2 linked regions of the Arabidopsis thaliana genome follow. The protein of the gene in region 2 interacts with the protein of the main gene of each other region in a biochemical or structural test. Each region holds a gene or a part of one and is shown on either strand. Other genes may lie near its edges.

Region 1 (4,292 bases), on a different chromosome or scaffold from region 2:
AATACTTCTTTTTGTGTTTGTTGAAATTTTGCAAGATTCTCTCTTCCTCTGGTTAATACACATAACTTACTTGGTAAGCTTGGCTGCATTTTCTTTTCAAGCTTTTAATCAAAGACTCACTAGAAATTGCAAAGGCAAACATAAAATTATGTGATCAAACTCCTACTGTGAGTTTTTGGTTACAAACAAAAGTTAAAAACAAAAGCTTGATATTTAAAAGATAAACTCAACACATATGCATTTGACTGGCGCACAGAAGACAATTCAAGACTTGGGAAAACAGTGAGCCATCAAAATCGTCAGATAATTCAGGGAATATATTGAATGTGGAGATGTGGTAATCACACTATTGCACACAAAGAGTGGCAAACAAGCGGCGCCCTTGGTTTGGTATAGTAAGAGACAATTGTTTTGGACTGTTTGTGTTGCCATATTCACAAAAATACTATTGAGCTATGTATGTTAAACATTATGGTCAATGAGTAGTAGTGAACATTCAAGTTTTTTTTTTTTTCCACTTCAAGTTTTTCATCTTATTATTATTTTTCGTTGTGATGCAGTAGTACGGCCCATCTTCACCAGTAGTATATCAAAGCCGAAACAGATGACAAATTGTTTAACATGCACTTGGATTATTATTGAGAGTTGAAATACAAAGGCCCGTTACAAGCCCAAACGAAGGTACATAAAAGAAAAGCAGAAAATGAAAACGAAATCGATAGGGATAAGTTTTTCCAACTGACGGAAACACAAACTACACCAGGTGAAATAGATCACCTCCCAAGTGCATGAGACACGAACCAACCACTTATCATCAGATCACAAAAAGCTTAGAAGCTTCCACCACGAAGACGAAGAACCAAGTGAAGAGTCGACTCCTTCTGGATGTTGTAATCTGCAAGTGTGCGACCATCCTCAAGCTGTTTTCCAGCGAAGATGAGTCTCTGTTGGTCTGGTGGGATCCCTTCCTTGTCCTGAATCTTAGCCTTGACATTATCGATGGTGTCTGAGCTTTCAACCTCCAGAGTAATGGTCTTTCCGGTAAGGGTCTTCACAAAGATCTGCATACCACCACGGAGACGAAGCACAAGATGAAGTGTCGACTCCTTTTGGATGTTGTAATCTGCAAGGGTGCGTCCATCTTCGAGCTGCTTACCGGCAAAGATAAGCCTCTGCTGATCCGGAGGAATTCCCTCTTTATCTTGGATCTTAGCTTTGACATTGTCAATGGTGTCTGAACTCTCAACCTCAAGGGTGATTGTTTTACCAGTGAGGGTCTTGACAAAGATTTGCATACCACCTCTGAGACGAAGCACCAAATGAAGGGTCGACTCCTTTTGAATGTTGTAGTCAGCAAGAGTTCTTCCGTCTTCAAGCTGCTTACCGGCAAAGATAAGTCTCTGCTGATCCGGAGGGATTCCTTCCTTGTCCTGGATCTTTGCTTTGACGTTGTCAATAGTGTCAGAGCTCTCAACCTCCAAAGTAATGGTCTTGCCAGTCAGAGTCTTGACAAAGATTTGCATACCACCTCTTAAACGGAGAACCAAATGAAGGGTTGATTCTTTCTGAATGTTGTAATCGGCCAAGGTACGGCCATCTTCTAGCTGTTTACCGGCGAATATTAATCTTTGCTGATCCGGAGGAATGCCTTCCTTGTCCTGAATCTTTGCCTTAACATTGTCGATGGTGTCAGAGCTCTCAACCTCGAGAGTGATAGTCTTGCCAGTGAGTGTTTTCACGAAGATTTGCATCTGAAATAAAACAATAGAACAAGTAGAAACCAATCAGCGAACATATACCAAATCAAAAGCCGTAAGAGAAATCAAAACAACACCAAAGAGAAACGGATCTAAACATAAGAAACCTAAAACAGAGAGAATCGAACAAAGAAAACACAAAAATTGAATAGATCGTCCTTGAAAATCCTAATTTCACAATCAAGCAAGAAATTACACAGATGTAAACACTACGAATCGATATCTTAGTAATCAGGACAAAATTTAGAAGCTGGATTGACGAAACGAACAATATTGTCAAAAGCAATTTATACAAAAGATTCAATAATCCACATAACAAAAATTGGAGATCAGATACGAATCAAAAACAAAAAGAATCAGAAAATATACCTTGAAAGAGAGAGTCGCGAGAGATTTGCAGAGATCGCTTTAGGCTTTGGGAGAGATTGAAGAGTCAGAAAAAGACGAAAGGATGAATTATTATCTTCCACACGAAGGTCTTCTTTATATCGCAAACCAAAAGCCCAAAACCGTCTTTTCTATTAATGAGAATAAAATATCTTTAGCCAAAACAAAAAAAGGAAGATATCAGTTGAGGATTATTATCACGAAACTAAAGGAAGGAATCATATGATACGTGTCATATTTTCCACCGTGCGTTTTTAAAAGACCGACTCAAGTAGAAACATCCTATGGTGGTGGTTGGATTAGGTCATCCATTACATCTGCTTCACTGACATTTTTCTATTTTTCTTTTTGTATATACTTTTCCTCAAATAATTTCTTTCTTTTCTATAGAAGAATTTAATCAATAAGGAAAAAGTTCAAAAAAGATTCTTTCCATTAAGACTATGTCTTGGTTAACCCAACCCATTAAGAATAAGCAATCATAATATATATAGAGAATACTAATACTATATATGAGATTTTTCTTTTAATTTCATGTTGATTATGATAGTTTATCTTCTTGATTTAATTTATCAATACTTGGCATAAAAGATTCTAATCTACTCTAATAAAGAAAAGAAAAAAAAGTATCTACCATTGACTAATTAAAATAAGGAAACTTATCTACCAAATTTGAGTATTTTTTAGAACAATCTTTTTGGTTTAATTCCAAAACTCTAAACCTAATTGTTGGGAAAAAGGACCTAATTTTTAAGAAAAGTTAATAATTAGAAGATCTGTATGTTTTTTTTTTTGATCCAAGTTTTTATTTCTTTTCTCTTTTTTTCATGATAAAATCTATGTTTTTTTAGTCTACAATTAAAGTAATTGTTATTATTTTCTTTATCTTTTTTTGTTGTTGTTGTTAATTCCCTTTTTTTTTTTTTAACAGCAACTTCTTAAAAAAAAAAACAGTTGGGCCTTGAATTTATTTCAGGCCTGCGTTATTAAGCCCAGATAATAACTCAAAACAAAAAAAATGTTGAACCGGAATAAACCCGCGAGATTAAATGCCGGTTTTCAGGTAACATAGAAGAAGAATATATGAGGATTGAAGAAGTATTCAAGAGGCGGAACAATTCACAAGTCCAAGAGCTTAAATTTCTCCTCACTCTTCTGCTACAGACTCGGAACTCTTTCTCTTTGCTAAAATAAGATGTTCAGGATTTTTGTTGCCCGACAATTCATGTATCTCACACTCTCTCTCTTCTCTGTTCTTACTACTCTGTTACATTACCACCAACTCAAGACTTTCTTCCACAATGGCGTTTATGAGACTTGGCTCCAAATCCGAAGCTTTCCATCGTGAAGGCCAAACCTGGTATTCTTTCTTCTGCATTGAATTAGACTAATCGACTTATAAGTCTTTGTTTCCGGTTTCGAGATCGAATTCTCTTCAATGTCGTTAATTTCTCTTGATTTTATATGTAATCAAGCTCTCATCTTTTTGTTGAAATCGAAATGGGCTCTTCCTAGAATCGTTAGTTATTGATGCAAGTTTCAAAGATCATATTTTTTTTGGAATTTAGCTCTGATTGATTTGTGACATCAATAATCAATTTTGTACGGACAAGTATATTCTGTTTTGGGTGGTGGTTTATGTCTCTCTCTTGTCTTACAGGCTTTGCACTACAGGACTCGTGAGTGATGTTACCATTGAAGTTGGAGACATGAAGTTTCATCTCCACAAGGTTAAATTTTCTCTATCTTCTCTGTTTATTTAGTCCTAGTTTTGATGTAATTGCATAAATGTGAAAGCTTGATGATCTAACTGTGTAATGTGTGTTCTTGATTTGTGTGTAGTTTCCGTTACTATCTAGAAGTGGGCTTCTTGAGAGGTTAATCGAAGAGTCTTCAACTGATGATGGATCAGGCTGTGTGTTGAGCTTAGATGAGATACCGGGAGGCGGCAAAACGTTTGAGCTTGTTACCAAATTCTGCTACGGTGTGAAAATTGAGCTTACTGCTTTCAATGTTGTTAGCCTTAGATGTGCAGCTGAGTACCTTGAGATGACTGATAACTATGGAGAAGGGAATCTTGTTGGTATGACTGAGACTTTCCTCAACGAGGTGTTTGGGAACTGGACTGACTCGATCAAAGCTCTTCAG
Region 2 (4,389 bases):
TAGCAGAATATATATACACAGATGCAAATCAGAAACCAAACCTTGTCGAGGCCGACGGGACCAAGTGAGGTCTTAACAATATTAGAAACAGCTTGACAAGCCATCACTGCAAATAGAGTATATAAAATACGAGTCAATAACCACAAAACATCTAAAAGAATAGATTCAAAACAAACCCTAGCTAGAGATCGAAACAAATTTGCGATGAAAACAAAGTGAACAGTTTAGTAATGAGAAGAGATAGGAAATAGACGTAAGAGGAAGCGATGGAGAGTAGTAGTACCGTTCTGAGTACGAACATCTTGGCCGGATTGTCTATCGCCGGAAATATCCGGATTTTGGGCGGAGATCGACATTATTCAGTTGTTATATGAACAGAAGAGGAGAAGCGAAAGGCTCTAGATCGGAGATCTGAGCTCTCGAGATAAAGTGCAGTGAGAGATTTTTCGCCTTTTATTGAATTGAAGCGAAAATGCTTCTCAAAAGTTTGTGAGAGTGAGAGACTCCGGCGGGTTTTTAACTTTCAAGGTTTCTGGGATGTACGGCCAGGGTATGAATGAAGCGGCGACGTTTTTATATTGGGCCGAAATAATATATACCCTCAAAGCCCATTTGTAATAAAGAGTTAAGCACGAATTATGGGCTTGGGGATTTAAAAAGAAGGCCATAAATGTCAATTTCAAAACATTTCATTAGTCTTCAGTACTTTGTCCGGTGCCAACGTTTCACATGTTTGAGTCTTACTTCTCTCGTGGGGAACTTTGGTTTCTGGATTTTTCAATAGTTCAGAAACTTTTTTTTGTATTATACTTTCAGATACTTACTACAACATTTCAGAGTTACTATTATGAACTTCTCAAATCTCAGTTACGGAAGAGATATAGGTGGTGATTGTGGAACTGTAATAAAGGTAGAGTTTGATTGCTAATATTGGCTCAAATTGAGATTATAAAAGTAAAAGAGATATGATCCAATACAGTTGAGATTTTAAAATCAGTTACAGTGATTTTTGAGAATCATGCGTTTAAAGGCTTGTAGAGCTTCTCAACCATCTTCCTGTACTCTGTATAACATTACAAGTTCAAGAAGACGAATATCATTATGAATCGAAAAATGGAGACGTCCAGAGATGTGTAATCTGATAACTATTGCAATTTTACCTTCTTGATTGCTCCAAAGCTGAGCCGCTTGATTGTTCAATGGTGAGCTGATGTTCGGTTCTGATCAATTAAAACAAAACAGGAAAAATCAGATACTGGATCAAACCAACAGAGAAATTCTTCATAAGTAACCTCAACAGTTATATCAGCCATAGAGTTTACCTCCGAGAAGGCTTTGAATTGAGAGTAATATCGTCCTCACATCATAAGCAGATGACCATTTATCCTACAAAAGATGTGAAAACAGATTCTGTTTTAAGTACTGCTTCTCTGATATGTGATTCCATGGGATTTACAGTAACACAAGTAGAAAGAGCAAGTGATTGTTATGTACCTGAAGAATGTCCAAGCAAATATTGCCATAGAGATCCACATTGGGGTGGAAGCAGCATGTCTCAAACTTAACTTTGGGAGACTTAAAAGGATAATCGTTAGAGAAAGTGAGTGAGAGTCTGTACTCAGTTCCTTCGAACACAGTATCTTTGCTTCCTGTAATTGTTCCTTTCCAGCAAAATATGTTGTCTTCCTCTGGAAACGCAGATATCCCCGGATCAGCTCCCATCTGCAATACATAAACCCAAAGGCCTCTATATAAGCATCCAACCATATCAACAGGTTCAGTTATGCAGAGAAAAGATAGCTTACCATCAATCCCATTAGTTCAGATTGCAGCCTGCAATTAAGGAAAAACAATGAATTAGCAAAACCATGAATTTGTTTGCTTTGATCAAGAAAGGGTACATAAAAGAAAGTACTTGAGATCTGTAGTACATACAAAGTTTGATGTATCATTCTCTTAGAGACATTATAACAAACAGTTGGTAGACAAAGAGAGAACCCATCATTTCAGAAGAGAACAAGAGAAGTCACAATCAGTTTTGGATCCATCGTTTTCTCTAAAAATGATCTAGAAAGCATGTAGACCACAAGAAATGGATATGGGTAGAGCCAAAACCTAATCTAATCTACCTAAAGAAACATGAACAACTCTATAAACAATCGCAGCGATTCTAATCATTAAGAGGCTAAAGACTAATTCCTTTAAATGGACGCGAGAATATTCCAAGATCGGAAAAATGTAAAAAAGAAATAACCTTTTTAGAACGGAGTGGCTATCGACGGTCTTAGTCGGAGGAGCAGATTGCTTTGATCCGGTGGCTGCCGGTGTAGTCGCCGCCGGAGTATTCCCTGTGTACCCATTAACCGTCGCCATCCTTTTTCGCCTCTTCTAATTGAACAAAGCAACAATCGTAGTCGAAATTTCTGAAATTGAAACGCTTTTTTCTCGAGAAGAATCAGATTCAAGAATGATCGAAACTGAAGAAGAAGGAGAAGAGAGATAGAGATAGAGATAGAGAGAGAGTTCTTCTTCTCTTCTTTGAGAGAGAGAGACGTGGGTCTGGGTTATAAAACGTGTACGACACAAGAAACGTCGTCGTTTTCAAAAGCAATAAAAAGGAATTATCCTAAAGCATTTTCCGAACGTTATCACTTAGGTTATAGCGGCTATTTTGATGCATTTGAATTGAAAATTCACCTACCTTATGTAACGGCTATTTAATCTTTCCAATGATAAAATTTGTTACAAAAATATGTAAAATGTTGAATCATGTAAAATGCTCAATAGATCAGAGATTTATGAGGTCTACAAGAGGAGAGGGTATCGAGAGCAAAGGATAAATCAAGATCTTGTTACAATATGATTCATCACAAGGACACACTATCTTTGAAACTAATTCCAAAGTTAAAGAGAGACACATTTCTATAGATACAATGATAACTTCCCTAGCTTTTCAAACCTATTGAGAAACATCACACTAAGAAGCCATCAGAGATGACTACACAAGATAAGGGGAGGGAGATGTACATACGGTACCGATCAACAATTGAGCTTAATGACTCGAGAGACTCTTTCAAAGAAGATGGGACACATACTTGTGCTGAACTTTATAACTTCTCTCATCCATTCCGGTGCCACTCTTTGAAATGTTCCGAGTGATGCAGGCTTGTAAAGCAGCTCAGATTCTTCACCATTTGGGTTATTTATAAAAGTTAGGCTGAAGGATAAACCTGTTATGGTAAAATAATCAGGGAAACAAAATCAGCATTGGTGCTTTTCTGGTGGCTGATGATCTCAAAAGATCTTTTGAATCAAAGTAAATAGATCATGCAGGAAAAACAAATTACCGGTTGTTGGGTGTGAGGCTACAATGCAGGCGCGTTTGCCCTTATTATTAGTTGATAATTTCATTCCTAGCAAGTGTTTGCCAAGAGCTTGAAATGTACAACTAGCAGAACTACTTGATCCATCGTAGGTTGTTCTGCAGCATTGTGGCTGAGAAACCAAGAGAGGCTCCTTGAAACAAAAGCAAGAAAAAGTATCAGTAAGGCTAATTTTATGATCCACTGGGTTTGTGAAGCAAGATGCACAACATTCAGCTCAGAACTGAAAGGTTAAGAGGTGATCTGTTTTACCTTTGCTTTATGATGTTTGCTAATGTCAGGTGATACCATATCCGTTTCCACCAAATCTTCTGACAGTCTGCTACGTTTTATCATGCTTCTCGTTGTAACTCGAGCACTTTCAGGAGTCTTTCTCTTTTGTTTTTTTCCACTTTGATCTTCATAGTTGCGAGGATGTTCCTCTTGGACCAGCTCTTTTAGCTTGACAACTTCTTCAGAAAGTGATTTGTCTGTAAGAAAAACAACAAAGATTTTATCCTAGACAGTATTATAACCAAGTCCTCATCACTCTCCATGAAGCAGTTCACATTATCTCAGCTAAATTCCTAACTAAACTACATATCATGTCCAATTATAAGGCTACATTCCATGACACATGAAAATAGAGCAGCAACTATCATCAATTAACATAGTTTCTTACTCTTTAGTTCTTCTTCCATGAGAAGCTTTTGACACTCCAGAAACTTGTCGTCCCTGCCAGATCTGTGGATCAAGATTGTTATAGTTACATTAGCAAGGCTCCAACTTCTCTAAATAAAAAAGAATGTCTGGGAAAATCAAGACGGTAAGGTGAAGTACATGCCTGATTGAAATGATTTCATTCCTCAACTTCTCAACCATCTCCAGAGAACTCTGATTTTCACCTCTCAAATGTTCCATCAACTCCTCTGAGGCTGCAAATAGCAAAAGAGAGAAAAGACAGACACACTAAGAACGTATTCACAGACTTAAAAGGTCTCTTGTTATAATTCTCGATTCCAAGTGT

The links.
Region 1: the proteins of UBC19 (region 2) and UBQ3 form a complex in vitro, tested with the Arabidopsis thaliana proteins (one study listed by BioGRID).

The regions. Positions count from the first base shown.
Region 1 is NC_003076.8:771,146-775,437, forward strand, and holds UBQ3 (polyubiquitin 3), read right to left. Parts: upstream 2,369-4,292; 5' UTR 2,127-2,368; exon of another isoform or gene 1,752-2,126; coding exon 831-1,751; 3' UTR 515-830; downstream 1-514. Other genes in the region: AT5G03250 (Phototropic-responsive NPH3 family protein), read left to right, coding at 3,446-3,504, 3,805-3,874, 3,987-4,292.
Region 2 is NC_003074.8:7,001,911-7,006,299, forward strand, and holds UBC19 (ubiquitin-conjugating enzyme19), read right to left. Parts: upstream 2,599-4,389; 5' UTR 2,374-2,598; coding exon 2,255-2,373; intron 1,936-2,254; exon of another isoform or gene 1,916-1,935; intron 1,834-1,915; coding exon 1,806-1,833; intron 1,723-1,805; coding exon 1,495-1,722; intron 1,387-1,494; coding exon 1,323-1,386; intron 1,221-1,322; coding exon 1,161-1,220; intron 1,064-1,160; coding exon 1,017-1,063; 3' UTR 787-1,016; downstream 1-786. Other genes in the region: TCP-1 (T-complex protein 1 alpha subunit), read right to left, coding at 42-106, 284-356; TTN9 (titan9), read right to left, coding at 3,040-3,230, 3,348-3,516, 3,636-3,853, 4,045-4,106, 4,207-4,297. UniProt on the Arabidopsis thaliana protein: Accepts the ubiquitin from the E1 complex and catalyzes its covalent attachment to other proteins. Part of the anaphase-promoting complex (APC). May have a key function during cell cycle and be involved in cyclin B1 degradation.